Linked DNA regions of Anolis sagrei. The protein of the gene in region 3 purifies or fractionates together with the protein of the main gene of each other region. This does not show direct contact. Links are inferred from orthologs where the notes say so. Each region holds a gene or a part of one and is shown on either strand. Other genes may lie near its edges. The genes, in order: CDK5RAP2, AKAP7, PRKACA and GPR161.

What was found.
Region 1: the proteins of PRKACA (region 3) and CDK5RAP2 purify together in Homo sapiens (affinity purification with mass spectrometry; 6 studies listed by BioGRID and IntAct, with this or other methods). This does not show direct contact. The link is inferred for Anolis sagrei from reciprocal best matches to the Homo sapiens genes PRKACA and CDK5RAP2.
Region 2: the proteins of PRKACA (region 3) and AKAP7 purify together in Homo sapiens (affinity purification with mass spectrometry; 4 studies listed by BioGRID and IntAct, with this or other methods). This does not show direct contact. The link is inferred for Anolis sagrei from reciprocal best matches to the Homo sapiens genes PRKACA and AKAP7.
Region 4: the proteins of PRKACA (region 3) and GPR161 purify together in Homo sapiens (affinity purification with mass spectrometry; 3 studies listed by BioGRID and IntAct, counting the BioPlex papers as one, with this or other methods). This does not show direct contact. The link is inferred for Anolis sagrei from reciprocal best matches to the Homo sapiens genes PRKACA and GPR161.

What each region holds. Positions count from the first base shown.
Region 1 is NC_090031.1:14,494,230-14,501,587, forward strand, and holds the start of CDK5RAP2 (CDK5 regulatory subunit-associated protein 2), read right to left. Parts: upstream 3,004-7,358; 5' UTR 2,790-3,003; coding exon 2,737-2,789; intron 1-2,736. UniProt on the Homo sapiens protein: Potential regulator of CDK5 activity via its interaction with CDK5R1. Negative regulator of centriole disengagement (licensing) which maintains centriole engagement and cohesion. Involved in regulation of mitotic spindle orientation.
Region 2 is NC_090021.1:82,614,072-82,621,842, forward strand, and holds the start of AKAP7 (A-kinase anchoring protein 7), read right to left. Parts: upstream 3,008-7,771; 5' UTR 2,946-3,007; coding exon 2,711-2,945; intron 1-2,710. UniProt on the Homo sapiens protein: Probably targets cAMP-dependent protein kinase (PKA) to the cellular membrane or cytoskeletal structures.
Region 3 is NC_090022.1:112,796,776-112,804,712, forward strand, and holds the start of PRKACA (cAMP-dependent protein kinase catalytic subunit alpha), read right to left. Parts: upstream 3,011-7,937; 5' UTR 2,501-3,010; coding exon 2,311-2,500; intron 1-2,310.
Region 4 is NC_090023.1:41,704,660-41,712,294, reverse strand, and holds the start of GPR161 (G-protein coupled receptor 161), read right to left. Parts: upstream 3,013-7,635; 5' UTR 2,983-3,012; exon of another isoform or gene 2,957-2,982; intron 2,835-2,956; exon of another isoform or gene 2,741-2,834; intron 2,016-2,740; exon of another isoform or gene 1,498-2,015; intron 820-1,497; 5' UTR 779-819; coding exon 408-778; intron 1-407. UniProt on the Homo sapiens protein: Key negative regulator of Shh signaling, which promotes the processing of GLI3 into GLI3R during neural tube development.

The DNA.
Region 1 (7,358 bases), on a different chromosome or scaffold from region 3:
TCTGGAGGATGGCCACTATTTTCAAAGTAAGAACAGCACAATGAAACAGGAGTAACACTGTGTTGTCAAAGGTTTCATGGCTGGCATCAATGGGTTGCTGTGAGTTTTCCGGGCTGTCTGGCCGTGTTCCAGATGGCAAGCTATTTAACCTCAGCAGACTGAAAGCCAAAACCAAGATTACAACAACATCCGTTATAGAACTCCAGTACGCTAATGACAACGACGTCTGTGCGCATTCAGAAGAAGACCTACAAGCTACTCTACACATCTTCGCAGAAGCTTACGAGAAGCTTGGCCTGTCATTAAACATTGATAAACCAAAGTGCTCTTCCAGCAGTCACCAGCCATCCCCTCTCCAATGCCAGAAATACAGCTTAATGGTGTAACATTAGAAAATGTTGACCATTTTCGCACCCTTGGCAGCCACCTCACCACAAAAGTCAACATCGACACCGAAATACACCGCCTGAGCTCTGCGAGTGCAACATTTTTCTGAATGAAGCAGAGAGTGTTTGAGGACCAGGACACCCGTAGGGATACCAAGGTGCTTGTTTATAAAGCTATTGTCCTCCCAACCCTGCTATATGTCTGCGAAACATGCACTGTCTACAGACGTCACATGCAAGTCCTAGAATGATTCCATCAGCGCTGACTCCGAAAAATCCTGCAAATCTCTTGGGAAGAGAAGCGGACAAATGTCAGCGTGCTGGAAGAAGCAAAGACCACCAGCACTGAAGCGATGGTCCTCCGCCATCAACTCCGCTGGACCGGCCACGTTGTCCGGATGCCTGATCACCGTTTCCCAAAGCAGTTGCTCTACTCTGAACTCAAGAACTGAAAACGGAATGTTGGTGGGCAGGAAAAGAGATTTAAAGATGGGTTCAAAGCCACCTTAAAAACTCTGGCATAGACACTGAGAACTGGGAAGCCCTGGCCCTTGAGCGCTCCAGCTGGAGGTCAGCTGTGACTAGCAGTCCTGTAGAATTTGAAGAGGCACGAATGGAGGGCGAAAAAGAGAAATGTGCCAAGAGGAAGGCTCATCAAGCCAACACCAACCAGGACTGTCTTCCATCTGGAAGCCAATGTTCTCACTGCAGGAGAACATGCAGATTAAGAATAAGGCTCCACAGTCACCTACGGGCCCACCGCCAGTACACTGATCTTGGAAGACAATCCTACTCGGACAATGAGGGCTCATCTAAGTAGGTAAGTAAGCTATGGACAAGTCTACACAGCTGTGGACAAGTCTCCAGCTTGAGGTCAGCTGTGACCAGCAGTGCTGCAGAATTTGAAGAGGCACGAATGGAGGGAGAAAGGGAGAAATGTTCCAAGAGGAAGGCGCGTCAAGCCAACCCCAACCGGGACCGTCTTCCACCTGGAAGCCAATGTTCTCACTGCGGGAGAACATGCAGATTAAGAATAGGGCTCCACAGTCACCTACGGACCCACCGCCAGGACACTGATCTTGGAAGACAATCCTACTCGGACAATGAGTAAGCTATGGACAAGTCTACACAGCTGTGGACAAGTCTCCAGCTGGAGGTCAGCTGTGACCAGCAGTGCTGCAGAATTTGAAGAGGCACAAATGGAGGACAAAAGAAAGAAACATGCCAAGAGGAAGGTGCGTCAAGCCAACCCCGAGGACCGGGACCACCGTCCACCTGGAAACCAATGCCCTCACTGTGGGAGAAGATGCAGGTCAAGAATACAACTCCCTTGCTGCACCAGCTCCACTGGCTGCCGATTTGCTACCGGGCTTAATTCAAAGTGCTGGCGTTGGCCTATAAAGCCCTAAACGGTTCTGGCCCAAGCTACCTATCCGAACGTATCTCTGCCTATGAACCCACCAGGACTTTAAGATCTTCTGCGGAGGTCCTGCTCTCAATCCCGCCTGCATCGCAAGCATGGCTGGCGGGGACGAGGGACAGGGCCTTCTTTGGTGGCCCCTCGGCTGTGGAACGCCCTTCCCATGGACATTAGATCAGCCCCTTCGTTAATCGTGTTTTGAAGAAAACTAAAAACCTGGCTGTTTGAACAGGCGTTCAGATAAATAGTGCAATTGAACGATGAATATAGGAACGGATTTATGGATGACGAATTGGATCACGATTTTAGTTACGAGATGCTAATGTGTTGTTATTGATGTGTCATTATTTGTATACTAGGCTGTTAAGGGTTTTAAATATTGTATGTTGTACGATTGACTTTTTTGCTCTTGTTGTGAACCGCGTTGAGTCGCCTACGGGCTGAGAAACTGCGGTATACAAGCAAAGTAAGTAAATAAATAAATAAGAAATAAGAATAGGGCTCCACAGGCACCTGCGGATCCACAAGAATACTCGGCCAACAAAGGATAGCCTAAGTAAGTACCAGTAGTATTGTATTATTATATTGCAATATTATTATTGTTATCTATTATTATATTGTATTATTAGTTTCATATTCTATTACATTATATACTAAAAGCAAACCAATCCAAGTCTCAGGTAGACTGTGCCTGTGTCTGGACGCTCTATTGTATAATACTATGTTACTCTCAGGTAGACTGCGCCTATGCCTGGAGGCTCTACTGAACCCATTTCCCTTCCCTTGGAAAGACTTCTCTTCTCTCACGCCTGCTTCTTTGTCCTCCGACTGGAATTCAGTCTTGGGCCCGAAGGAGTTAATTCCCCCCTCCCCCCCCCCCTTTTTCGCGGCCTAGCGCCTTTTGAGGGCCAAACCCGCCCTCGTCCTCACCTGCCGTTGAAGCCCAAGGGCAAGGTGGGGTCCTCCGCCGGGAGGGAGTCCATGGCGGAGGGAGAGAGAGAGGGGACGAGAGCGGGCGGCTGCGGCTCCTCCGCCGGTGGCCCGGGCTGCTCTGCTCCCGACTTTGGCGGCGGGCTCGGAATTCAAACCGCCACTCAGCCCGACGCCATCTTCCCGAAGCCAACGAAGCCGCCCTCAGAAGGGCAGCCGCAGACCGCCTTAGGCCGCGTGCCCTCTTCCCTCTCCAGAAACGCCTCGGGCGCCATCTTTGTTGAGGGAATCGATGTGGCAAAAGTGGGCGGGGAAGGAGGAGGGGCTCGAGAATCATAGACTCACTGAAACATAGAGACCACCCTGTCCAACCAGGAAAAGTACAAAAGGGTCCCTGACAGATGGCCATCCAGTCTAAATAATTAATAGTAATAATAGAGTTTTAGGCAATCAGCTCTCTATAATCCGCTGTGGAGCTGAGCGCCATTTTGGAAAAGCCCGTCGGCCATCTTGAAGCCGACGCAGCCGCCCTTGAAAGGGCAACTGCACTCAAGGGTAGGGCGAGCTCTTTCTTTCCTGGGGGAATTGTTCTTTGAGGGTGCTTCGCGCGCCATCTTTGTTGAGGGACTCAGGGATGCCAGGGGAGGGGAGGCCCGGATGTTGGAAGCGCCTGCGCAGTGAGCGATAGGAAAGGGCTAAGGACCGCCCCTTCACAGCCAGCTGAATGTGAAAAGAGCCATTCTTTCCTTCATACGCCTTCCCCTTCCTTCCTTTTCTTCCATCCTTCCTTTTCTATTTCCTTCTTCCATTCTTTCCTTCATACACCTTCCCCTTCCTTCCTTCTTCCATTCTTTCCTTCATAACCTTCCCCTTCCTTCCTTCCTTCCTTTTCTATTTCCTTCTTCCATCCTTTCCTTCATACACCTTCCCCTTCCTTCCTTCCTTTTCTATTTCCTTCTTTCATCCTTTCCTGCATACACCTTCCCCTTCCTTCCTTCCTTCCTTTTCTATTTCCTTCTTCCATTCTTTCCTTCATAACTTTCTCCTTCCTTCCTTCCTTCCTTCCTTCCTTGCTTCCTTCCTTCCTTTTCTATTTCCTTCTTCCATTCTTTCCTTCATAACTTTCTCCTTCCTTCCTTCCTTCCTTGCTTCCTTCCTTCCTTTTCTATTTCCTTCTTCCATTCTTTCCTTCATACACCATCCCCTTCCTTCCTTCCTTCCTTTTCTATTTCCTTCTTCCATTCTTTCCTTCATAACTTTCTCCTTCCTTCCTTCCTTTTCTATTTCCTTCTTCCATTCTTTCCTTCATACACCTTCCCCTTCCTTCCTTTTCTATTTCCTTCTTCCATTCTTTCCTTCATACACCTTCCCCTTCCTTCCTTCCTTCCTTTTCTATTTCCTTCTTCCATTCTTTCCTTCATAACTTTCTCCTTCCTTCCTTCCTTCCTTCCTTGCTTCCTTCCTTCCTTTTCTATTTCCTTCTTCCATTCTTTCCTTCATAACTTTCTCCTTCCTTCCTTGCTTCCTTGCTTCCTTCCTTCCTTTTCTATTTCCTTCTTCCATTCTTTCCTTCATACACCATCCCCTTCCTTCCTTCCTTCCTTTTCTATTTCCTTCTTCCATTCTTTCCTTCATAACTTTCTCCTTCCTTCCTTCCTTTTCTATTTCCTTCTTCCATTCTTTCCTTCATACACCTTCCCCTTCCTTCCTTCCTTCCTTTTCTATTTCCTTCTTCCATTCTTTCCTTCATACACCTTCCCCTTCCTTCCTTCCTTCCTTTTCTATTTCCTTCTTCCATTCTTTCCTTCATAACTTTCTCCTTCCTTCCTTCCTTCCTTCCTTGCTTCCTTCCTTCCTTTTCTATTTCCTTCTTCCATTCTTTCCTTCATAACTTTCTCCTTCCTTCCTTCCTTCCTTGCTTCCTTCCTTCCTTTTCTATTTCCTTCTTCCATTCTTTCCTTCATACACCATCCCCTTCCTTCCTTCCTTCCTTTTCTATTTCCTTCTTCCATTCTTTCCTTCATAACTTTCTCCTTCCTTCCTTCCTTCCTTCCTTCCTTTTCTATTTCCTTCTTCCATTCTTTCCTTCATACACCTTCCCCTTCCTTCCTTCCTTCCTTTTCTATTTCCTTCTTCCATTCTTTCCTTCATAACTTTCTCCTTCCTTCCTTCCTTCCTTCCTTCCTTGCTTCCTTCCTTTTCTATTTCCTTCTTCCATTCTTTCCTTCATAACTTTCTCCTTCCTTCCTTCCTTCCTTGCTTCCTTCCTTCCTTTTCTATTTCCTTCTTCCATTCTTTCCTTCATACACCATCCCCTTCCTTCCTTCCTTCCTTTTCTATTTCCTTCTTCCATTCTTTCCTTCATAACTTTCTCCTTCCTTCCTTCCTTCCTTGCTTCCTTCCTTCCTTTTCTATTTCCTTCTTCCATTCTTTCCTTCATAACTTTCTCCTTCCTTCCTTCCTTCCTTGCTTCCTTCCTTCCTTTTCTATTTCCTTCTTCCATTCTTTCCTTCATACACCATCCCCTTCCTTCCTTCCTTCCTTCCTTCCTTCCTTCCTTCTTCCATCCTTTCCTTCATAGACCTTCCCCTTCCTTCCTTCCTTCCTTTCTTCCTTCCTTCTTCCATCCTTTCCTTCATACATCTTTCCCTTCGTTCCTTCTCTATTTCTTTCTTCCATTCTTTTCTTCATACACCTTACCCTTCCAAAGTGCTGGCTTTAGCTTATAAGTCCCTAAACCAATGTTTCTCAACCTGGGGGTTGGGACCCCTGTGGGGGTTGCCGGGGGTATCAAAGGGGTTGCCAAAGAACATTAGAAAACAAGAGTACTTTCTGTTGATCATGGCAGTTCTGTGTGGGAAGTTTAGCCCAATTCTATCGCTGGTGGAGTTCAGAAGGCTCTTTGATTGTAGGTGAACCATAAATCCCAGCAATCAGTGATGGATCTGGACCAAACATGGCACCAATACTCAATATGCCTAAATGTTAACAGTGGTGGAGTTTGGGGGAAATAGACCTTGACATTTGGAAGTTGTAGTTGCTGGGATTTATAGCTCACCTAAAATCAAAGAACATTCTGAACCCCACCGATAGAATTGAGCCAAACTTCCCACACAGAATCGCCATGACCAACAGAAAATACTGTGTTTTCTTATGGTCTTCGGAGACCCCATTAATAGCCCTCTTGTGATCCCTTCAGGGGTCCCGACCCCCAGGTTGAGAAATGCTGGCATAGCCTCTGGAGACATCTCCCCCAAGACTACCTCCACCGGCCTATTGGAAGCCAGCTGGGAGGAGATCCCCGCCTACGTCACCACTGCTTCCTCCAATCAGGGTGTGCACCGGCTAGGACCTGCCTCCTGACCAATCAGAGGCCTGGAGAACGCCAGCTGGCTTCTCAGCGACAACCAATCAGGGGAAAGGGAGGGAGTTTCAAAACATAGCAATGTTGATTCATGAGAATCTTCATGTATAAAAATGCCTGTTTATGGTTATCATCCTTTTACACTTGTCCCCTTTGTGCAGATTGACAGAATAAAGTCTCTGTCATTTGCCTTCAACCTGTTGAGCTTCCCGATTCCTGACTCAAAACATCCTTGGATAGTGAAGCTTGCCAGGCATCCCTCGGGATCCGCGGTGCTTTGAAAAACCGCCAATTTTCAGCATCAAAGGGTCTGTGGGCCAGATTTGGTCCAGATCCACTAATCCATGAAGGAGCCATTGTGGGACAAACCAACATACATACATACCTTGATTTTTAGCTTCCTCTCTCTCTCTCTCTCTCTCTCTCTATATATATATATATATATATCAATTTTTCTTCAATTTTTTAGCCAGTTGCTTGAGTGTTCCAGTTAACTGAGATGAATATTTATGTATGATTATGTCGTACTGCCGAGACCTGAAAGAGGGGACGGTGATGGTATCATTTTGAAGCAGTTAACAAATTTGCCCAGCGACGCTAATCGGATTGGCTCTTTTTGTTGAGTCTTATCTTAATGAGTTGTCCATTTCAGGCGATTATTAAGCCCCTCTTAAACCGGGAAATTGCAGCCGACGACAGCAAAAGTTCAGCGTCTGGGCATTGTTTGTCTGTTTGGAAGGCAGGTTCAGCCACGAAAGGCCAGCATCTGTGGGTCGGGTGGAACGAGTCGAGAGCTGGGAAGGAATGCTTTTAGGATTAGGATTAGTGCATTGCAGATACAAGCAGATGCTGTCTGGCTGCTGGCAAAATTGGAGCTTTCCTTGGATCCCCTTCCCAACACCAGCCTTTTCCATTGCAGTTTCTGTGGGTTCTCCTTTTTATGTATTTTTGCCTATCCTTTTCTCTAACCTGGTGCCCTCTAGGACAACGGCTGGATCCGTACTGACATATAATGCAGTTTGGAACTGCATTATATAGTCAGTGTAGACCCATATGATGCAGTTCAGTGTAGTTGAATTACATTATATGCATTGGCACTGACCCAGTAATGCATTGTAAGGGTCTACGCTGTCCCTATAGTGCATTACATGAGTCAACACTGATCCTATAATGCATTATATGAGTCTACACTGTCCCTCTCAAGCATTATATGAGCCTACAGTGACCTATAATGCATTATATGAATCTATGCTGTCCC
Region 2 (7,771 bases), on a different chromosome or scaffold from region 3:
CTTTCTACCACCCTGGACCTTCCACAGATATATAAACCTTCCTTGCCTAGTTTCCAACTGACCCCACAATCTCTGAGGAAGCCTGCCATAGATGTGGGTGAAACTTCAGGAGAGAATGCCATACAGCCTGGAAAACTCACAGCAACCCAGTGATTCTAGCCATGAAAACTTTCGACAACACATTGGCATCTTTGCTTTCTAAGCTTCTATGTACACACACTTTTCATGTGACAAATTATTTGAAATATGTATTTTATACATATTTGAAATATGTATAAAATGACCTTCATATCATGTGTATAGGTTGCCTATTATTCTTCTCTAGAGCACTGGTTCTCAACCGGTTGGTCCCCAGATGTTTTGCCCTTCTACTCCCAGAAATCCTAACAGCTGGTAAACTGGCTCGGAATTCTAGGAGTAGTAGGCCAAAAACACCTGGGAACCCCAGGTTGAGAACCACTGCTCTAAAGGAAAGAGGGGTGCATCCATACTGTAGAAATAGTGCAGATTGACACCACTTTCACTGCCATGGCTCAATGCTAGGCAATCTTACCAATTGTATTTATTTATTTATTTATTTATGACATTTATATACCGCCCTTCTCACCCCAAAGGGGACTCAGAGTGGCTTACAAGATATATATACAATATATTATTAGCATAATACAATATCAGTATTATATATTACTATACTGTACTACACCATTATATTGTAATATTATTAGTAATGTTACATGTAATATAAAATATATAATTATAATATTGTATTATTATTATTAGTATTAGAATCATAGAAATCATAGAATCATTGAGTTGGAAGAGACCACAAGGGCCATCCAGTCCAACCTCCTGCCAAGAAGCAGGAAAATCAAATTCAAGGCACTCCCGACAGATGGCCATCCAGCCTCTGCTTAAAAGCTTCCAAAGAAGAAGCCTCCATCACACTCTGGGGCAGAGAGTTCCACTGCTGAATGGCTCTCACAGTCAAGAAGTTCTTCCTAATTTTCAGATGGATCTCCTCTCTTGTAGTTTGAAGCCATTGTTCCGCATCCTAGTCTCCAGGGCAGCAGAAAACAAGCTTGCTCCCTCCTCCCAATGACTTCCTCTCACACATTTATACATAGCTATCATGTATACTATTGACCATTCAAAGTACAGATTGCCTCCATAATCTAGTCTGGAGTAATCCAACTGTCAGCTGTCAGGCATGCAAAGCACATAGTTTGGTTCTAACCATGGGCTCATCTATACCGATTGCTTAATTGCAGGACCAATCCAAAGCAGAAATGCTGGACTGTCACCTAACCATCCCCCATTACTGCTGTCAGATATCTGGAGTGCTCCTAGCCATTGCAGATGTCTTCATGCAGACATCAACAAATGTGGCCATGGAGAAAGCAAGAGTGAGTGTTCCCTGATTTTTTTTATTCAACATTTACTAGAAGAGTGGGGGGACAAGGGAAACCCAGCTCTTTAAGCTGCTCCTCATAGGGCTTGTTCTCCAGACCCTTAATCATTTTAGATGCCCTCCTCTGGACACATTCCAGCTTGTCAATATCTCTCTTGAATTGTGGTGCCCAGAACTGGACACAATATTCCAAGTGTGGTGTAACCAAGACAGAACAGAGGGGTAGCGTGACTTCCCTGGATCTAGACACTATACTCCTATTTATGCAGGCCAAAATCCCATTGTTGGCTTATTTTTAACTTGTTGTCCATGAGGGCTCCAAGATCTTTTTCACACGTACTGCTCTCAAGCCAGGCACCCCCCCCCCCCCCATTCTGTATCTTTGCATTTCATTTTTTCTGCCTAAGTGGAGTATCGTGCATTTGTCACTGTTGAACTTTATTTTATTAGCTTTGGCTCATCTCTCTAATCTGTTAAAATCGTTTTGTATTCTACTGTCTTCTGGAGTATTGGCTATCCCTCCCAATTTGGTGTCGTCTGCAAATTTGATGATCATGCCTTCTAAGCCAGGGGTCCTCAAACTAAGGCCTGGGGGCCGGATATGGCCCCCCAAGGGCATTTACCCTAAGTCTGAAACAACCTGAAATCACACAACAATGGCATCTCATCAGCCAAAAGCAGGCCCACACTTCCCACTGAAATACTAATAAGTTTATATTTGTTAAAATTGTTCTTTATTTTAATTATTGTATTGTTTTAAAGTGTTTTTACACTACAAACAAGATATGTGCAGTGTGTATAGAAATCCATTCATGTTTTTTTCAAATTATAATCCGGTCCTCCAACAGTTTGAGGGACTGCGACCTGGCCCTCTGCTTGAAAAGTTTGAGGATCCCTGTTCCAAGCCTTCATCTAAGTCATTAACAAAGATGTTGAATAGGACCGGGCCCTTGTTTTATTGTAGTTTTACTGTTTGGCAGAAAAGGCGTGTAAAACTACAACTGACAGGATTCCATAGCCTCAAACCAAGGCAGTGAAAGGGGTGTCAAACTGCATCAATTCCACAGCAATTCCCAAAGGCTAGTCCTTTGGGTTGTTTTGGACTTCAACTCCCAGAATCCTCAGCTGTAGGAGTCAACGAGCAGGGACTCTGGGAGTTGAAGTCCAAAACACAAGGAAGGCCAGGCTTTGGGAAAAACTGAGCCAGATCTGGGTTTCAAGGTCCTTTCTTCCTCTCCCTCCACCGCCCTTTCTTTGGGGGACGAATAAGGGGGCTGTCCGCGTTCTCCTCTCTCTCCTCACCGGTCTGCCCGCTGGTCGCAGGCAGGACAGGCGGCTCCTCCTCTCCCGCTTCGCCCTCCATCGCCAGCCTCTGAGGTTCCGCCAATAGAAGGCAGCGTTCTCGGAACGCCCTACAGCTGGCCGTTCCTCGCCCGGCCGCCAGGGGCGCTGGTGAGCAAAGGGGGATCCGGCGACCAATAGGCGGAGCGGCGAGGCAGGAGGCGCGCAGGGTTCGGAGCAACAAACGCAGCGCCATAGCTAGGGAAGCTGCTCCTGCTACGGGGCGCCGGAAGGGCCAAGAAAGAGATTTAGAAACGCGTCCTTGTGGAATGGCCGCTGTGGGGGAACTACGGATCCCATGATGCAATGCAAGTGGTGGGGCCGTGTGCAAAACCGACTCCTTTCAAATTCCCCCGCCCTTCCTCGCAGGAATACCGAAATGCGGACCTTCTCCCCAAATAGATCAATCCTTTAAAGATGTGACATCCCCCACAGCTGTTATTTGCTCAAGAGTATTGGTTTAAATACTGTATTTTAAAAATATTTTAGATTTAATCCGTTTTGTTCTTTGTTCTTCACACCTGGAATACTGGGTCCAATTCTGGGCACCACAATTGAAAGGAGGTATTGATAAGCTGGAATGTGTCCAGAGGGCGACTAAACTGATCAAAGTCCAGAAGAACAAGCCCTATGAGGAGCGGCTTAAAGAGCTGGGCATGTTTAGCCTGAAGAGAAGACTGAGAGGAGACATGATGACCATGTGTAAATATATGACGGGAAGGCATAGAGAGAAGGGAGCAAACTTGTTTTCTGCTGCCCTGACTAGGACGCAAAACAATGGCTTCAAACTACAAGAAAGGAGATTCCATCTGAACATGAGGAAGAACTTGACTGTGAGAGCCGTTCAGTAGTGGAACTCTCTGCCCCAGAGTGTGGTGGAGGCTCCTTCTTTGGAAGCTTTTAAACAGAAGCTAGATGGCCATCTGTCAGGGGTGCTTTGAATGTAATTTTCCTGCTTGGCGGGGGTTGGACTGGATGGCCCATGAGGTCTCTTCCAACTCTTTGATTCTATGATTCTATTCTATCTGAGACTGATAAGGATAAAATCCTATTGTCTCTTCCAACTCTATGATTCTAAGATGTATATATCTTTAATCAGAACTACAAATTTAATATTGAATCACAATTTGATCTGGGGTGTTGTGGTCACAGGGTTGCAAACCCCACTTTTTGTCTTCCAGGGATAAACTACACCAGGCCTGGGCAAACTTGGACCCTCCCTCCAGGTGTTTTGGACTTCAACTCCCACAATTCCTAACAGCTTCAGGCCCTTTCTGCTTAAGGGAAAAGGATCTGAGGCTGTTAGGAATTGTGGGAATTGAAGTCCAAAACACCTGGAGGGAGGGCCCAAGTTCGCCCATGCCTGATCTACACTATAGAGTTAATACAGTTTGATACCACTTTAACTGCTATGATTCAGTGCTTTAGCATCCTGGAATTGTAGTTTCACAAGGTCTTTCGCCTTCTCCGCCAAAGGGCGTTGGTGCCTCACCAGACTACAAATCCCAGGATCCATTGCATTGAACCCTGGCAGTTAAAAGTGGTGTCAAACTGCATCAATTCTATAGTGCAGATGTGCATGTATTATTTATTATTTATTTACAGTATTTATATTCTGCCCTTCTCACCCCACAGGGGACTCAGGGCGGATCACAATGCACACATTCATGGCAAACATTCAGTGCCATAGACACGCTACATATATAGACAGAGACACAGGCTATTTAACTTTCCAGCTTCATGAGTGTATGCTTTTTGAATTCTGGCCACCGGAGGAGCTGTCGCTTCACCATCCACTTGTGACACCAATGGAGTACTTCCACATTTTTGCAAGCTGCTGGAGAGTTTTATGGCATCTTAAATTAGTTAAATTAGCCTCCCCGCATAAGCTGTACCTAGATTTCCTACTTGACAGATGCAACTGTCTTTCAGGCTGCAAAGGTCAACAGCAAGCTAGACAAATGGCCAGAAACTCACTCCAGCTAAGGCTGGCTTCGAACTCATGACCTCTCAGTCAGTAGTAATTTTAATACAGCTGACTCCCAAACAGCTGCACCCGCATTGGTTCTGGGGAGCTGGGTTGCAGCTGCTCTCTCTCTCTCTCTGAATAGTACAGCCTTTGTTGACACTGAGCCTAAGCCTAAATAGCTCACGTTGTCCAGCTTTCTGCATTTTCTGTGTGGGCAATCATTTTGCCCCCATAAAAGGGTAAAGGTTTTCCCCTGACATTAACTCAAGTTGTGTCCAACTCGGGGGGGGGGGGGGGGAGGGGTGGTGGTGCTTATCTCAATTTCTAAGCCGAAGAGCCAGCATTGTCTGTAGACGCCTCCTAGGTCATGTGGCCATGACTGCATGGAGCACTGTTATCTTCCCACAGAAGGCAAGTAGAAGTGAGTAGAAGGTATTGATCTACTCACATTTGCATGTTTTCAAACTGGCAGAAGCTGGGCCTAACAGCAGGAGCTCACCCTGCTCCCTGGATTTGAACCACCAACCTTTCAGTCAGCAAGTTCAGCAACTCAGCCATTTAACCTGCTGCACCTCATACTGCCCTCATACTACAGTATTAATAAAACTGACAATACATCTGGTAACAATATTAGAAACCTAAGTTGGAAGGGAAGGAGTTAATAAGATACTGGAAAGAGGCTGAACTGTACAGATGGAACCAATTAAGAGTTTCTGCAAAGGATGTTCTCTCCAGGGAGAGAGAAAAAAACCTTAGAGAAAGGAGGAGCTATTTTTCCAGAAGTGCAAAACTTTCAGTCACAAGGAAATGAGGTGGAAATTAGAGTGATTTAATCCGTTTTGTACACACAAAGCAGATGAAATCAGCAGTTACACAAAGATAGCCCCTAGATTGTTTTTAACATGGCCATTTTGAAGGGTTCTTTCTATTATTTTGAATTGAGAGACCTTCACAGCGTTGCAGTTACATTCCATTCCATCTTATGCATTTGTGTCGCTGTAACTCTTTAAATTGTTAAAATTAATTTAGTTTGGATTACAGTCGGACCATTGGTATCCACAGAGTTTGGTTCCAGGACCCCAAGATCTATGAATGTGTGTTCCATCACATTCAATGATGTAGTAAATGGTGTTCCTTATATACAATGGCAAAAACAAGGATTTTTTCCCCTTATTTTCTTTGAATATTTTCACGCTGTGGATATTTATTTATTGATTTAGTTACAGTATTTTTATTCCGCCCTTCTCACCCCACAGGGGACCTTGGGCGGATTACAATGCACACATACATGACAAACATTCAATGCCATTTTGACATACAACATATATAGACAGACACAGAGGCCATTTAACATTCCAGCTTTTCTGGCTTCATGAGGGTATGCTCGATTCCGGCCACAGGGGGAAGCTGTCGCTTCACCATCCACTTGTGACACCGGGTCCTTTGATGGAGTACTTCCTCATTCTCCTGCATGCTGCTGGAAGGTTTTATGGCATCGTAACTTAGTTAACTTAGCCTCCCTGCATACAACGGTACCTAAATTTACTACTTTAGGTAGTAAAACTGGCCGGCTCAGTTTTTAATAATGTCTTGTTGTACTACTATTGTTATTGTTCTTGCTTAACTGTTTTATTTGCTAGGTACTGTATTGTTATATTGTGTGGGCTTTGGCCTGTTGTAAGCCGCATAGAATCCCTTGGGAGATGCTAGCGGGGTACAAATAAAATAATAATAATAATAATAATAATAATAATAATAATAATAATAATAATACTTGACAGGTGCAATTTTCTTTTGGGCTGCATAGGTCAACAGTAAGCTAGACTATTAATGGTCGGGAGCTTACTCCGACCCGGGCTGGCTTTGAAATCATGACCTTTCTGTCAGTAGTGTTTTAATGCACCTGGCTACTAACTAGCTACGCCACAGCCTGGTACGTTGAATTCATGAATGCTGAATCTATGGATACGAAGCTTCAACAGAACGCATACTTCTTCCGTTCAACTAAATGGGCTGCAGGGTTTTTAAATATATGCTTGATTTGAGATGAGGATTATATCTTTCAGAACAAATGGAACAGGTTTGTTATCTAGCTTCAAAACAGGTGTTCTGCTACAGAATGTTGTAAGACCAGTTGGACCTTGAAGCTGTCTAGAACTTTTAAGGGCCAAAGCAGATGAAGATTAATATTTACAGTGAACATTAAAGGTTCCACTTTTTACATAATTACATATTGAAAGTAGGTCGGCTTCTATTCTGTATCATTTGGCCGGAGGAACTAAGGGTTTCCACTTTTTTTGCCCAGGTTCCAATTACGTGTTTCAATAGAAGCCTGAAGCTTCTGCCGCAATTGGCAGTCCCTCATGTGACCTAAAACTTGTTCTAGAGGGATGAAAAACCCTCTGGGGAAGATTGTTGGCACCAGATTTTTGGATATAAAACTATCCCATCAGATCATGGTTTTTGTTAAGCATCTAATGCTTGACATGGTTTCGGGTGAAACAAAAATGAAAAATCCAACAATCACATGGGTGCGAAAAAGTACTGAGTGACAGATCACTATAGTTTGTTTTGCACACTCTACAACAGAACGACGTGTCTGTCGGGTTTATATTTGTGGCACTTTGATCACTTGAAACCCAGAAATTGATTTGTCAGGTGCAGGACACAGCGTTGTTTGCCAGCCTGGTGTGAAGACAGAAAATGTACTTTGTGTGGGTAGTGCCAGCGAGCGCTCAACCTTTGTAGTACATTTTGGCACAGGTGTTGTTGGGAGCGGTAATCACAAGAGAAACTGGAATGCCTGGATTTAAGCTGGTGGAAAGGAGAAACTGGTGGAAAGGAGAAAGCCTTCTGATATTAATACAAACTGTAAACAAAGGACAAAGAAGGGCACGTCGTTCTAGAGGTGGTGGCAATCTATAGGTTAAAGAAGATATAGAATACAGGCCGGAATGACACAGATAAAGTTACAATAAGTTATACATATGTATGATGTTGCTGATGAAAGTGATAAGCAAATTTCATTTCAGTGTAAGGAGAGTTGCTAGAAA
Region 3 (7,937 bases):
TAGGGATTGGTCATCGTTCTTTTACTAATGAAAACTGGAAGGTTCAAATGTTTTTACAGTGATACATGTGGAAGCGCAATTGTTTTTATCATCAAGTCCTTTGACAAAGAGCTAGGTAGAAAATGCTGGTAAGATCTAAAGCTGTGGATGTTGCACTGTGCTTTTGACTAGACAATCTCCCTGATAGCTTGGCCTCAGCTAGGACCCACAATCTTGTCCTCGCACTTTACTATTGTTCTATACCCAAAGTTATAATGCTCTATCGTATACTAACCCCTATCTCTATTGCTGCCATATGACCTATGCACTTTATCCATCAGCCCTATCCTCACAATTGTTTGTGCACCAGTCCCTCCACTCATGCCCAGAAACTGATTATTATCGCAGATCTCATTCATTACTGGTTTAATGTTTTGTTTTTATATTTTGTTATAATGTTGTTTTTCTGTTTTGTTTTGTTTTATATTATGTTGTTGTTGAGATATTTTAATGTGCTGTATCTTCACCATGTTGATCGGGCTCATCCCCGTGTAAGCCGCCCCAAGTCCCTTCGGGGAGATGGAGGCAGTGTACAAAAATAAAGTTATTGTATTATAATATTGTGCCTAGCTCCCATAATTAGATTTAACTTTCTGAAGAAGAAGATTGTCAGAGGTTCTGAGCATTTCTCTTCTTGTGCAACAGACCGGACACAGCACTGAGAAGAGATGCCAACGCCAAAAGCATAACAAGGCCAAAGAGGAATCTGGCATCAGATGTTGTACAAGCTTCTATTTTAGGCCATGCAGCAGTGCCAAAACTTACTGTCACAGCTTTGTTTAAACATACTTGAGGATCCAAAATCAGATTGCATTTAGTCTCTTCTGCTGCTGTGAGGTAGTAATGTATAGTGCAGACAATGCAAAGGTCTACTTTCTATTTCTGACCCAAAACCTGAAATAGAGTGCTCTGGGAATCAAAATACAACCGTTCACCAAGTCAAGAATCAAAACCATAGTCTCAGCTAGTAGTGGAAAGTGCTAAAACAATAATGGCCAGTCTATGTGTGTCATTACAAAGCTCTATCAGCTGGAGACGGGAATTCCCAAGTCTGATTAGGCATTTAATATGAAGAAAAATAAAGGTCTCCCTTACCAAGTGAGAAACATCCACAGGTAAGGCTGCAAAATGGTCACAAAAATAAAAGAGTATAGGAAGACATTGGATTTTTTAAATACTACCTTATCTGCCAGCTGGAATAAAAAAACTGACATTCTCCCCCAAATATGGCAGGACATCTCGGTATGCTTCACTATCCTTATTCTCTGCAGTCCAAGTTGTATATTTTTCTATATTACCAGTGTAGCCCAAAATGCACATCACAGCCAAATGCACAGAAACTAAACTTGCTAGGACTGATGGAAGTTGCTGTCCCAAAACACCTGGAAGGCCAAGTTTTCCCACTTCTACCATAATAAATTTTGGGTAGGGGTAGGAAAGAACAGATAAGTGCAGGGAAGAGGCATTTTCTCTAGACATTATTTCCCTGTGTCATCTCTTGCTCCTTCCCAAAACTTTCTGCCTGGAAAGGGAAACGGGTGAGGCAGGGAAATGGTTTCCAGGATAGATGGCACTCCTGCCATTATTCACCTTCTCTCTGCCACCCCCACCCAACTCTACCCCATGGCTTTACTCACATCAAAATGGCTGCTGAATTACTAGTACATTTCCTACAGTTTAAGCTAGTCTCCTATGTCATTTCAGTAAGTAATCCCTTTTTTATACAGACTGTCATACTTGAAATAGACAAATTAAGACATAGAGTATGCAATGAAGAGCCACTAAAGTCAGTGTTTAAATCATTTAGTGGCCAGCAGTGAAGCAGAGTTGGATCAATGGTCATGCTTGATAAACACTGGGAGGTTAAAATCATAGCCACACACTAGGGAGCCCTTCTGTCATTGAGAAATGATAATTTTCTATGGCTGGGGGATTCTGCGAGTTGTAAACAAAAAAGCAGTTTTTCCCCAGCTCTGGTGTCCCTAAAAGGAAGCAACCTGCACTTCAAAACATAGCCTAGCATGAATAACTGAATGGACAGTAGCCACAACCAAAATGTCTATCAGAATAGCATATCACATCTGATATTTTCTTTGGCAACAAACAGCAGCTTACTTCACTGACCTGATCCACATTCAGCTGCCAAGACATGCATAAGGAGAACAGTAGCAATTGCTTTTGTTCTGTACAGATTAATTTTGGGAGGAGAGATTCAGGGAACCTTACACCCATCCCTAGACCCCTTGAAGCCATGCTTTATTGTCAACTCACTCTGCTCATTCCAAGCAGCCGTGTGCTCTGATTCAGAGGCTGTGTTTCCACATTCAGGCAGCCCTGCATCACTCCGTGGGCCCCAGTAAAAGATCCGGCCAGCCAGATTCTCCAGTTTCTGTAGCGCCGACATCTTACACCCTTTGTTCTTGCTGGAGTTTCGAGAGTTCACCTCAGCTCCATGGTTCATGTTTCCCTTTATTTTAATCACCAGTTTCTTTGCCTGCTCCAGCTCTGCTCTCACATCAAACAGAGTGAGGCCACTCCGTCAGGGTCTAGGAGAGCACTTGCCCCAGTCGTTGCCATTTGCAAGAAGATTGGGACAGACACAACCCTCTTTCTGTCCTGCTGCAGGAAGAGAAGGCTGAAAGCAGCAACAGGAGAGCAGACACAGCCCAGACTCAGCAGAGCTCTTTACATTCCTGTCCAACTGATTGAGACAAGCACTTGGCTCAAACAAACTGTTTGCGACTTCTAACCGGGAGAGAATTTTCATCAAAATGACTTCGCTGGACCAAAACACTCATGACAGTTCAGCAACTGGTACGCAGCTCTCCAGGGCAGCCATCCATGTGCATACCAGGATTCCCCAACTCCCACGATGTCCAGGAAAGGTCCATCATTGCCCAGTCCATAGTCTCTGTGTATTCAGCAACAAACACGGGCAGCCTGGTCACTTAAACAGCTGGTCAGAGGGTGAACAGCGGGCAGATTTGATTAATACAGAAGGAGGGAGGGAGGGAGGCAGGCAGGCTTGCCAGATCAACTGTAGTGAGGGCCACGCAATAAGGCTTAAAATAGCTCAGAGATTCTCTGAATCCCTTTCACCCTCAGGCCTGAAGGTAGGGCAAATAAGGCTCTCACCAGGTAGGAAACCCCCACAACACAGGGTGATCCTCCAATGCAAAAGAGGGAGAAGAATTTCAGAAGACAGAGCTAGTCAGCTAACACAATGAAATGACCACACCCCAACTCAAAAAGCTTGGCCTATAGTGTGGCAAGACAGATACAGTCTGTAAGACAGAGGCAAAAGAAGAGCTTGTTCAGATGCTATGTTTTCTGGTGATGGGCACTTCCTCTCCCTAAATGTTAAGGCTGCAAAACACTCTTTTGCAAAATATCATTCATTGTTATAATGATCTGTAGAATCTATTTATAAAACATTTCCAAATGTGCACAAAAAGTGTGCATAGCTGCACAGTCCATAATCTTCCCACAAAGATCAGGAATGAAAATAACGGCTCACTTCTAGTGACTTAACCTTTGCTTTGCCTCCATCCAAAAGTTAAGAAGCCACTGGTAAATGAAACCTCTTCTAATAAATAAGAAATGAGTTGGTGGAAAAGAGAAGGAGAAAGTACAAGCCAGATATCTTTTTCTCATATGGATTATTTGCCAAAGAAATGTATATTTAGGACAGGAATCCAAACACGGCAGTACGGTTATTGCTTTAGCCCCCAAAGTGATGCAAGATGTAACTGACCAGCCGACCAAGCAAGTGCATCCATAGGAAAAGCTGGGTCCAAAATTGGAAATCGGAGCTGCCTTCCCACATAGTTTGAGGATTGTTGGACTCAGAATCCATGTCACTCTTTCCAGATGACAGCTCTGCTTCTTACATTTTCAGTGTTGAGACAAATTAAAGCCCCCATCACCAGTTCTTCCAACTACCAGTTCTTCCAACACTACAACTCTCCTTCCTCAAAGCGTAGCTGGCTGGAAATTCAGAGGCAGTTCGGAGGGCAAGGCTCCACTTCTACATAAGGACAGCAAGAACAGTGGCAGAGTAATCTGCAGTATTGTTTCAAGAAAAGCCCCAAAGGAACAGCCTTGAAGTGGGAAAAAGAGAAGGGGCTAGGCATAGTGCCAGGTTTCCAGGAAGCCCTTAAAGGGACAGACTTCTCACTCTGCAAACAACCATCCCATCTGGTTATGAAACTGCACACTCCCCAACCATTTCAGCACTGTGAACAGGTAGATGGCTGGTTGTCACTGGAGATGCATTCACATTGGGAATGACACTGTGAATGCTTAATTAAAGCAGATTTGTTTTGCTTCATGACAGTTCAGCAGTCTCCAGGTTCCTGCACAACAGGCCAACAAAATAATGTCATTCTGATCATAAGGCAAGACTATATTCACTTCCTCTAAGAACAATCAGACATGATTGCAAGAGAATTACTGCTTCAATGCCAGTGGTTGACCCTGTTAGACACAACAGTCACAAGACTAGAAAATACGTCAAAATTTAATATATTGGAAGGCAATTCTTGAATACCCTAGTGATTTTTGTCCTGCCTTGAGTAACAGAAAGACAGAATTTTCCAATGTTCATTCACACTAAATTGTTTAGTATCTATTTAATCAATCTGCTCTCAGTAAGATACAGTCAATGTCATTTCTATATGCAAAATAGGAAAAGTGCAGATTTGTGGCTTCACACTGTTGTTGTGTTATGTGACTTCAAGTCATTTCCAATTTGGGGCAACCCTAAAATAACCCTACCAAGTGGTTTTTGTGGTATGATTTGTTCAGAAGAAGTCTGTCTTAGTCTTCCTCTGAGGCTGAGAAAGGGTGACTTGCCAAAGTTCATGCAATGAGTTTTCAAGGCCGAGCAGGGATTCAAATCCTGATCTCCAGCATCATAGTCTAACGCTCAGTCAGCAAACCAGACTGGCTCCCCTTCCCATTGCTGAAGTCAAGTAAATCAACTTAGCTCAAAACAGGTAGGGTGAGATAGGACTGAAGCAAGGGGCAGCCCTCTTATTTCCTATTCTTTCACTTGCAGGCAATACTGAAAATCAAATACTCAAGAGACAGAACACAATAGCCAAATCTGCAGCCTTCCTAGTTCTTTAGAACCAAAAGCCTTGATTTCTGGCATTAAAAGAAGGGCATTGTCACTCCCAAAGGGACAACAGAGGGTTAAAACTGTGCAGGTGAAGCCTCATTAGATCAGGTGAATGTTTTGTCATCTCAGGAGGTAAATCTCTGGCAGGTTCAGCAAAAAGGCTTAAAATATTTTCTAATGAGCTTGCCAGAATAAATGCAACTAGCCAGAGCAGCAGAAAGGAGTGGTTGTGTAAGAAGACAAGGGGCGGAACAAGATAGGGCAGACAGAAGAGTCCTTGAAGCACTCTACCATCTCAGCAAGTTTTTCTAACTTTCATGCTTCTAGCCTAATTTGATAGTCCTTTGCTTCAACTGTGGACATGAAAACCAGCAAGTCAAGGCCTAACTAGAGACATTAAAGTTAACTGGAATGCACACGCATTAACTGCAAATGTACTCCTATGCTGGATAATTTCTATTTAAAATACTCAATTTTTCTGTCATAGGTTGAGGACACAATCTATCTTACTCTTATCTTCTGATGAGCAAAGATATAAATATAAATGTGGCAATTACATTTTTACAAAATCTTGGCCCAAAAATGTTCTTGTCTGTTCCAAGCTTATGAGGAGACTTATGAACAATTGAGTGAATTATATATAATCCAGGGACTTTATATTCTGGTTTATATTTTTTTATAAACTTCCCTATAATCCGGACTACATACTTATAAAGCTTAATAGCATTAATTGCAGCTTTAGTGATGAGAAACATCTTTGCATGGGAAATAAGAGGTTCATCTCCATCAGTGAGAAAAGTTCCTGGTTGAAGACGTTCAGAGCCTCCATGTTGTCAGTCAGCAATGAAGATGGTCCACAACAGTGGCGAGCGAGGGAGGGAGGAAAGAAAGAGGGAGGGGGGAACGTTATTTCTGTCCTGCTTCAAGGCCTGGGTGTGAACCCACTCCTATGAACCACAGAAACCTGAGCTTCCAGACTCAGGGTTAAATACAAAAATACAGTGGACCTTTGATATCTGATAGGTGATGGTCCCCCCCATGGATACCAAACTCTGTAGATGCTCAAGTTCCAAGATATATAATGGTGTAGTAAAATTGTATCTATTACATAAAATGGATTTTAAAGAATATCTTCAAGCCATAGATGGTTAAATCTGTGGATGTGGAGGGCCAATTGTATACCCAAGATACAGACATGCAACTTTAAGGGGAATGTAACATCTATAATCATAGGCTGAATCTTTGATGTTTTTGTTTGACTAACCAGCATCAAATCTGTCTTACCTCCTTTACACACAAACAAATCTAGTTGCTAATATCCAGTCTGAAATAGCTTTCACTAAGAGAAGTACACTTCAGGAAACATAATTCCATACTTGATTTATCTGCTGCATGGAACTGACCTGTCCTGAAGCATGACATCCCAAGGAGCAGTTGAAGTCCAACTGCAGAGCCATCAGCTCTATTTAAAAATGAGAAATGCCTTTATGTTTTTAAAGCTGAAGTATCACTTCCAAGCTCATCTCAACATTGTCACCTTTCAACTGTACCAATTTGATAGGTAATGGCATCAATTTTCTCATTACGTAAGATGGATAGTGGATCATACATCATCTTATCCTCTGCCAACTCTACTGACTAGGCTGTCACAACACTGTCTGTCTTTTTACAGGATATCAGAACTTGGGAACGTTGGGTACTAAAGTTCTTCCGCTCTGAAAAAATGTATTAAGAAATTATGGACATCTGAAACACGGCGAAACATTTAGCCAGATTATTCTTCTAATCACCGTTAGCTATTCTACTAATAAGTGCAGCTTCATTTAGATGCTAGGAATGTGTCTCTGATTAAGCGGATGTTATGAAACTTTGTTCTTAATGAATGGCTGAAACAGCAATCTGATAGCGGCAGTTCTGACCTGCCTAGGATACTTACCTCAGAATTAAAACATTTAGAAATATAGAAGTTATAAATTGAGCAAAGAGGCATGCTTCTCAACTGAAACATGCAAGACCATTTGTTCAAAATCATATTTTAACCCAATTCCTTTTTTTAATTTAAAATTTTACTATTATTTAAACACAAAATAAAAACAGTGATATATATTAACAAATAAAGCACGCAACATACAAAAACAGCGACATACATCGTAGATAGCACATTCTCTCGACCCCCCCCCCCCCACCCATCGTGGACTTTCATCTCTGCTCACTATGATATCTATACGTTATAATTCCTACCCCTATAAGTTCCCTAAATAGTTCCTCTTACAGCATAGTTAACTTTTGACTTCTTTCCAATTCAAAGTGATGGTTTTGACCTACAAAACCCTTTACGGCTCCGGCCCAGCGTACCTGTCCGAACATATCTCCTTCTACGTCCCACCTCGGAGTTTAAGATCTGCTGGGGAGGCCCTGCTCTCGGCCCCACCTTTATCACAAGCGAGACTAGTGGGGACGAGGGACAGGGCCTTCTCGGTGGTGGCCCCTCGCCTGTGGAATGCACTCCCAGGGGAGATTAGGTCATCAATATCCCTCCTTGCTTTCAGAAGGAAGCTAAAAACCTGGGTGTGGAACCAGGCCTTCGGGTAAGCTGGCAGATGGAAAAAGACAATCAATGACGACCAGAGCAGGAAAGGATAATGACGATGCTAGATGGATTACGGACTATGATTTGGCTAACATTAACCATAAGATGATTTTATTGCTGCTAGTATATTGTTTGACTGTTTTAGTTAGTTATAATTGTTGACATTATATGGTAAATTTGTGTATT
Region 4 (7,635 bases), on a different chromosome or scaffold from region 3:
TTAGCATAATGCCAAATTGTTAACTTTGTTTGTGTTTTTAAATACATTACAATACAAATATTTCAAAATCTGAATAATCTGAAATACTTCTGGTTCCAAGTGTGTCAGATACGGGAGACTTAACCTGTACTTATAACATATGAATAGCCTGCTGCATCAGGCCAATGATTAGACTTCCTATTTTTTTTACAGCAGCTTCTGAGACCTAACAGAAGACATATCAGTTCAATCATGCTTTGCTACCTGCACATAGGCATGAAAAAGGAAACAGGTCCTCATAATATTTAGTTTAAGGACATGGTTATACTGGGTTTTTTGAATCACATTATCTCTCAGAATGGGTGGATAAGACAGAGACTTCATTGTTGCTCACTGACACGTGGCTTCTATTGAAAAACATTGCGTACCGGTCGATAGCAATGAGTCCGAGCGTGAGCATACTGGCAGAGCTGATCAGCATATACAGCAAGGCTGAAAAATTGCACCAAACGACGCCAAAGATCCATTCTCGCTTAATGGAACTGGTCACAACGAAAGGAAGCACAAGTACCGAAAGGAGGAAGTTGGATAGAGTCAGGCTGAACACAAACTTGTTGCTGAGTGTGAGGAGGTATGACCTTTTGTAGAGGGTCAGGACAATGACCAGGTTTCCTAAACAGATGAAGATGGCAATGACAATAATTGCAATTGACTCTGTAATTCTGCCTACTCCATTCTCTGGAAGTGTAAGGTTCCCTGAGGCGTTCTTGTGGCTGAGAGAGGAGTTGATGCTCATCATCAGAGCGTACGGAAGATGGACAGCCAGGACATGCTGGGCACCTGGAAAAAGAAGAAAAACACAGGTATCATTCGAATACTGTGCTTTTCTAAATGATATAATTTTACATTCTATCTTTAATTGGTTTAAAATCATTACATATCATCAAGTGCAGCCAGTGGGGAAGGGCTCTTTGGTGTATTCTAGATCAATGCTTCATTGATACATGATATGTGCGATCAGCAATCCATCCACATACTCCCCCCTCCCCCCACACACATCACTTCATTGCCAGTTAAATATGCCCATCGCTCATAGGACTCTTTTCATACTACCCTGCTATGATTCTATTTTTTTTTTTTTGCCTTCCTCTGGGACTCTGAGATTTGCAGCTTGAAGAGACATGAGCACAATCCCACTGAAAACTCTAAAAGCTTCTCCCGAAACTGCAAAACTTGGGATTCCACAGGATGGAACAGTAGTTGTTAAAGTGGAATCCCAGCATTACAACTGTATGGTGTGAAATGACCCTTGGTTTCCATGCCCCTTGTAATCTTAGTTGCATCTCCTATGGACCTCGCACAAGTTTCAAACTTAAACTTTGGTGCTCAGAACTGGACACAAGCCAAATAAAGTGTCCTTTCTCTTGATCTGGACACTATAATTTGGTGGATGCAGCCTAGAACTCCTTCAGCTGTTCTTTTCCCTGTTGCTGGATATCACAGGGACGGTTGACTCACTATTTGTAATGTCTGGAAGACTGGAAGCCTGATTCCATGGCACAGAGACAAGTGGTTTCAAACTGCACTCATTCTACAACAAGGATGGGCAAACTTGGGTTAAGTGGCTGAGGGGGAAAAGGAAAGGGCCTGAGGCTGTTAGGAACTGTGGGAATTGAAGTCCAAAACACCCGGAGGACCCAAGTTTGCCCATGCCTGTTCTACAATGTAGATGCGCCCTGAGAAAAGCTGGCCTTTATTTCAAGGGCCTCATCTTCCTTTCCTCTCCCTTCTGCTTCCTTCTCCTCCTTTTTCCTTCTTCCTCCTTCCTCTCTCCCCTAACTTTTCCTTTTTCCTCACTTCCTCTTTTCATTCTTTCTCTCTCTTCCTTTTCTCTCTTTTTCTCAATCTTTGTCCCTTTTCTTTCTTTCTCCATTCCCTTTCTCTGCCTCCCTTTCTCTCTATCTTCCTCTTCTTTTCTATTTCTTTCTCTTTCTTCCTTCTCCCTCTCTTCCTCCCTTCTCTGTAGTTCTCTCCATCTCCCCTTTCTCTCCCTCTTTTTCTCTCTTCCTCTCTTTCTTTCTCCCTTCCCTTTCTCTCTTCCTCTCTTTCCAATCCTTCTCTCTCATTTCCTCCCTTCTGTCTTTCTCTCTTGCTCTCCATTCCCTTTCTCTCCTTCTCTCCCTCCCTTCCTATCCTCCTCTCTTTCCTTCTTTCTCTCCCTTCTTTCTCTCTTCTCTTTCTTTCTCCCTTTCTCTCTATCTTCCTTCCTTCCTTTCTCTCTCTCCCTTCTCTCCCTTCCCTTTCTCTCTATCTTCCAATCTTTCTTTCTCTCCCTTCCTTCTCTCTTCCTTCCTTCTCTGTCTTTCTCTCCTTCACTCCCTTCCCTTTCTCTTTATCTTCCTCCCTTCTCTCTCTCTCTCTCAATCTCTCTCTCCCCCTTCTTCCTCTCGCTCTCCCTTTCTTCTCTGTTTTTCTCTCCCTTCCCTTTCTATCTTCCCCGCTTCTCTTTCTTTCTTTCTCTCTTCTCTCCCTCCCTTCTCTTTCTCTCCTTCTCTTCCTTCCCCCTTTTCTTCTCCTTCTTCCTCCTCTTCTTCGGGGTCGGACACAGGCAGCCCCTTCTCCTTCCCTCCCGAAACGGGAGGCCCTCTCTTCCCGCGAGTCTCCCCTCCAGAGGTGGGGCATGGCGCTCCATTCCGGGCGAACCCCTTCCTTCCTCCTCGGTGCCCAGCCTCCCCCTTGGGCGCCGTGCGAGGCCACTCACCGTGTGTCCCGGGGGCTGCCTTGCTGCGGGAGCGGGCTCTCTTCCCGGGACCCCCCACCAGCGCCGCCGCCCACGGAGCTCCCCCAGCGCCGCCCCTTCCCCCTCTTCCCCTCCTCCGCTCCTTTGTTCTCCTCTCCCTCCTTCTCCCCCTCAACTTTGGGCCTCTTCGGCGGGCCGAGAAGAGGATCCCGATGCCTTTCCTCCTTCCTCCCTTGCCTTGCAAGGCTCCTCCACCCGCTCACTTGGCGGGAGGCTCGTCTTCTTCGCCTTGCTGGGAAAAGTCGGCCGCCAATTCCAAAGCAGCCGACTTAGGCAGCATTTCCTCCCCCGGCATTCCTGGCCCTTTTACACCTCATCTCCCTTTCTGGCCCTCCTTCATTTTTGCTGTTCTTCTCCAAGGCCAGCTCTTTCTCGGCCGAAGGAATGGCCATGGGAGGGCAGGAGGCAGCGCTTGGGATTCAGCGGCAGCCCGCGAGTCCAGTGGCATGAGGAACACACTTCAGTTTCCATCCCCACTGGCAGAGTTTCCTGCCATCTGGGTGGTGCCAGAATGAGAACACCCCCCCCCCCCCCACATTATATGCCCAGCATCCCTTACCTGGAATTCCACATAAGATGGCTGAGGGCTAATCTACACCAGTGGCTCCCTACCTATCAATTATATCTATCTATATAAAACCTACAACCCTTCAGGTCATCCCAGATGTGGTCTCTGCCAGCCAGGGCCAGAACTTTTTCCATCAGTTAGGGGGCATCCGGCTTCATTCCTATTTTCTCTGCTACCCAATTTACACTAGAGGTTCTTGACATCTCTGGAAAACCAGGGCCAGGAGAACGTACAAGTTGATCAATTTTGTCATTGTCCAAGAAACATCCCAAAAGGCCTCCTGAGTGTCCCCCTGCTGGGTCCTCTCTTCCTCTTCCTTCCTTGGTGTCGACGTGGCCCCCGAATCCTGGTTTCCAGCTCCATTACAGAGACCACTGTTTCCTCAGGTTGGAGCACCAAGTCCGGCCAGTCAAAGACGATGGCCACTTTTTGCCAGGTCTCTTTGGTCGAAGGGCAGTCTGTGATGAAATGTTCTCCATAAACACCTCCAAGGTCATGTGCCCAGCATGACTGCATGGAGCACAGTTACCTTTCAGCAGAAGTGGTACCTACTGATCTAATCATATTTTGCATATTTTCAAATTGCTAGGTTGACAGAAGCTGGGCCTAACAGTGGGAGCTCCCCTCACTCTCTGGATTCAAACCCCCAGCCTTTCAGTTAGCAAGTTCAGCAACTCAGTGGTTTAACCCGCTGCGCCACCAAGGGGCCTATATATATATATACTGTATGTGTGTGTGTGTGTTATATTACTCAAAGCAGCTGAAAAACATGGTCATAAGACATTACAACTATTTGTTATAATGCTGTGTGGCCAGCATTAGCCTCAGGTTATAAAACTGATTTAATCCTTACATTAGCTCTCCATTCTTTGTCTTCAGGAGGAAAGAGAGTGCAATGTATGACAGGTGGGGACCACTGATGCAACTTTACTTCAGTCCACAAGAAGTGCACATCAACAGGTAAAAGAATTACAGTGCTCTCCCTTATTCTATCCCATTGGCCTCTCACAGTAGTAAATGTTACTGAACATATTGGAGCTGCAATTTTTCTACAGTCATTACAATCAGACTGTAAGAATAAACATTCCACAGGTTTCCTTTTTGTTTACGATTGGTTTAATGTAGAGCAGATGGAAAGAAGCCTGAAGGAAAAAGGAGGTATATGTGTAGTCACACAGTGCTAGCTGCAGGGAAAGAAATCACTATTTTTATCTATGAAATGTTGACAAGTATGATAAACATGTCTTCTACCCCAAAACCCAGACCATAACACTTTCGCTCAGTGTTTGAATATGCTGCCATTGGATTGGTAAAGGAAATCTGGATTATTATTGTGTATGTAAAGATGGTCAGATCACTGGCAAGGAAAGAACAGTTAAAAGCCACACATTTTGGAATACCTCCTTTTGTTACCATAACTTAGAACTAACCCATTGAAGCATGGCATTTAAAACCAAATTATTATTGGCTCAAAAGTCTATTCTACTGGGTGCTAACAATAGAATTTGTTTATCATCTTGCTTGGTTTCCTCTATAAACTTTTAAGAAATAACTAATTTGAACATGTGATCCTTTCCTCTCCTTAATCCCAAGTAACATGATCTATATAGCTAACTTTAAACAACATTTCACTCTCTGTTTAGATTACATGATGTATTAGAAAGGCAGAACAAAGATTGTATCTGGGAAGAACTTCAGAAAGAAGGGTACAGTTGTCGAGTCACAATGCCCCTCCTCCCAAAAGATTAATAGTTTATCAAGTTTATGAAATTTCTTAACTTCTTTGAACTTTGCTGGTGCGAAGCGGTGGAGATCGGAAATGGACCAACAGCAGCTTCACCCCCACAAAGACTTTATAGTTCCAACCCTTTAATAAATTATGCCTATTTTTTCCTGACTTTGCTGTTGTTGTTTATTCGTTCAGTCACTTCTGACTCTTAATGACCTCATGGACCGGCCCACGCCAGAGCTCCCTGTCGGCCATCAACACCCCCAACTCCTTCAGAGTCAAGCCAGTCACTTTTCCCCTGACTATCTGTGTAAATTGTATCTTTCTGTATACAATATCTATTTCTTTTATATAAAATGTATACTTTTCCATATAAAATGTAGCAAGATGTAGCCAGAGAAAAATCACCTCTATATAACTCCAAAGAGCCACTTCCCAAACACTGGAAGGTTGGGCAAATCCCTCTGGCTGTTTTGCAGACAGGCAATCATCAGAATCAATTGTTCATGTATACAGAGATAGTTTCCCATGTCAGCCCAGATAAGCCAAGAGGTATTTGTCTGATTAAATGGTTCACTTGAGGCTGAGAGATTGCTGACCATGGAAAGAGATGCTTAGAGTGTGTACATTCAACCCATTCTGTTTGTTTCCATCTATAATTGTCCTCATGATGCACTTTCCCCCTGTCCTTAATAAAGCCAAACCTCACTGCTCCCCTTTCTTGGACTCCTCCCTCACAAATATACTTTTTATTCCTATCTCACCCAGGGTTTTAACGTTTTAACATTTTATCTCGTGCATTTGGCCCACCCTTTCTATTTGATTTTATTATGTTATTTTGCACTGTTTATTTTAATTTGTTACTTTATTTATTTTGTTTTGATGTAACTTTTTCTGTAGTTTTGTGTCCAACTTTGCTGTATTATTTTTGAGCTTGGCCTGATGTTAGCCGCCCCGCGTCCCCTTTGGGGAGATGGTGGCGGGGTATAAATAAAGATGATGATGATGATTATTACATTTGTTAAACCTATTGACTGACAGCCCAAACTGTGAATGCCCAAGATCATCACCTTTGTTTTGGGAATCTCATGTCTTTGACTGCAGAAACCCCTATCTTTGTCAAACACAGAACTGGACTATTGAGCCAATCAAGAGCTTAGTATCATTTATTTAAACATTGTCTTCACAAATGACGTCTCCTACCAGGGGACACCCCACCAGCTGTTTGGTTCTTCGGCTGACCAACTCCAAGCTGTCATCTCCCCATGATAGGGAATCACAACCTGAAGGCAGCATCAGCAGCACCTTCAGCCATTCAGGTCTCAGATCCAGACCAGCCCCTCTCTCAGCCAATCAGGGAAAGGAGTGGGAATTTTGAATAGTTGTCAAACCTTATAAGATCTCTTGCATTCTCTGTATGTTTTACGCTTCTACACTTTGAAGCATCTGCTTGTATTTGCATCCCTTTTGGCTGAACTGGATAAACCTCTGTGTTTTGTCTTCAACCTGGTGAGTATTTCTCTGTCCTGGCACATTTGGTTTAGCTTGCACTAGCCGGGCACAGATCATTTTATCAGCAGACCTAGTTATCCACAACACAGTTGGTTAGATAATGCACTGATAATAATGGAATAGACTCTTGAAACCAGCTAAATCTGATGTTGTGGTGATGATGTAAATTACCGAGGCCCAGAGATCCAGAAAGGGGTCTGAGTCTAACTATATTGATTTTTTTTTGTCTTTCTCAGTAGGAGTAAAGCTTCTCCCCCACCCACCAATTTGTGGGTTTGACTTTTGCAGGTTGAATTCTTCATGGATTTGATTAAAATGATCTCCCTAGAAACCGCTAGATATTTTGCTGTAGTCTGTGGTCAGCCTCTAGCAGACACTAACCACAGAGTTATGTAGGAAGAACAACAGCTGGTTTCTTTCCCACTTTCTTTCTCTCCACCCTCTCTTCAGAAATAGACTGAAGAGCACAAATGGTTCATCAACCAAATAATCTAACACTACTTATATTCAGCCTTTTGCATTTGCAGGTTTAACATTGTGGATTCATTTGTGGGTTGATATGGTCTCTCTAGGATTCTCTAGGGCAGTGGTTCCCAAACTTTTTTTGGCCATGCCCCATGTAAGCATCTCTAAAATCCTGATTCCTCCCCACCTGCAACCCCCGGTGGCATATAATTCTTATTTTTTTTTAAAAAAAAGTGAATTCTTGTTTATGCGGAGGAAGTCTAAAAGGCCATTAAACAAACTTCCAAAGGACATCACATCCATGAAAGAAAGAAAAAAATAAAAGAGCAAAAGGACAGTTGAAGTACTGAGGAAGTAATCAAAGAGAAATAATTTAAATAATAAAAAATAATAACAACATGAAAAAAGCAAATAAAGCTTCAGAACCTATAATAGAAACTGAAATGCATAAATATAAAATAATTTAATGGAAGCTTTTTCTGTAATACTTTGATCATTTTAATTATTATACAAAATACTTTTTGTATTGCTTGCAATGTTAAAAGAAGAAGAGTGGGATTTTTGGAATGAAAGTTGTCTCCC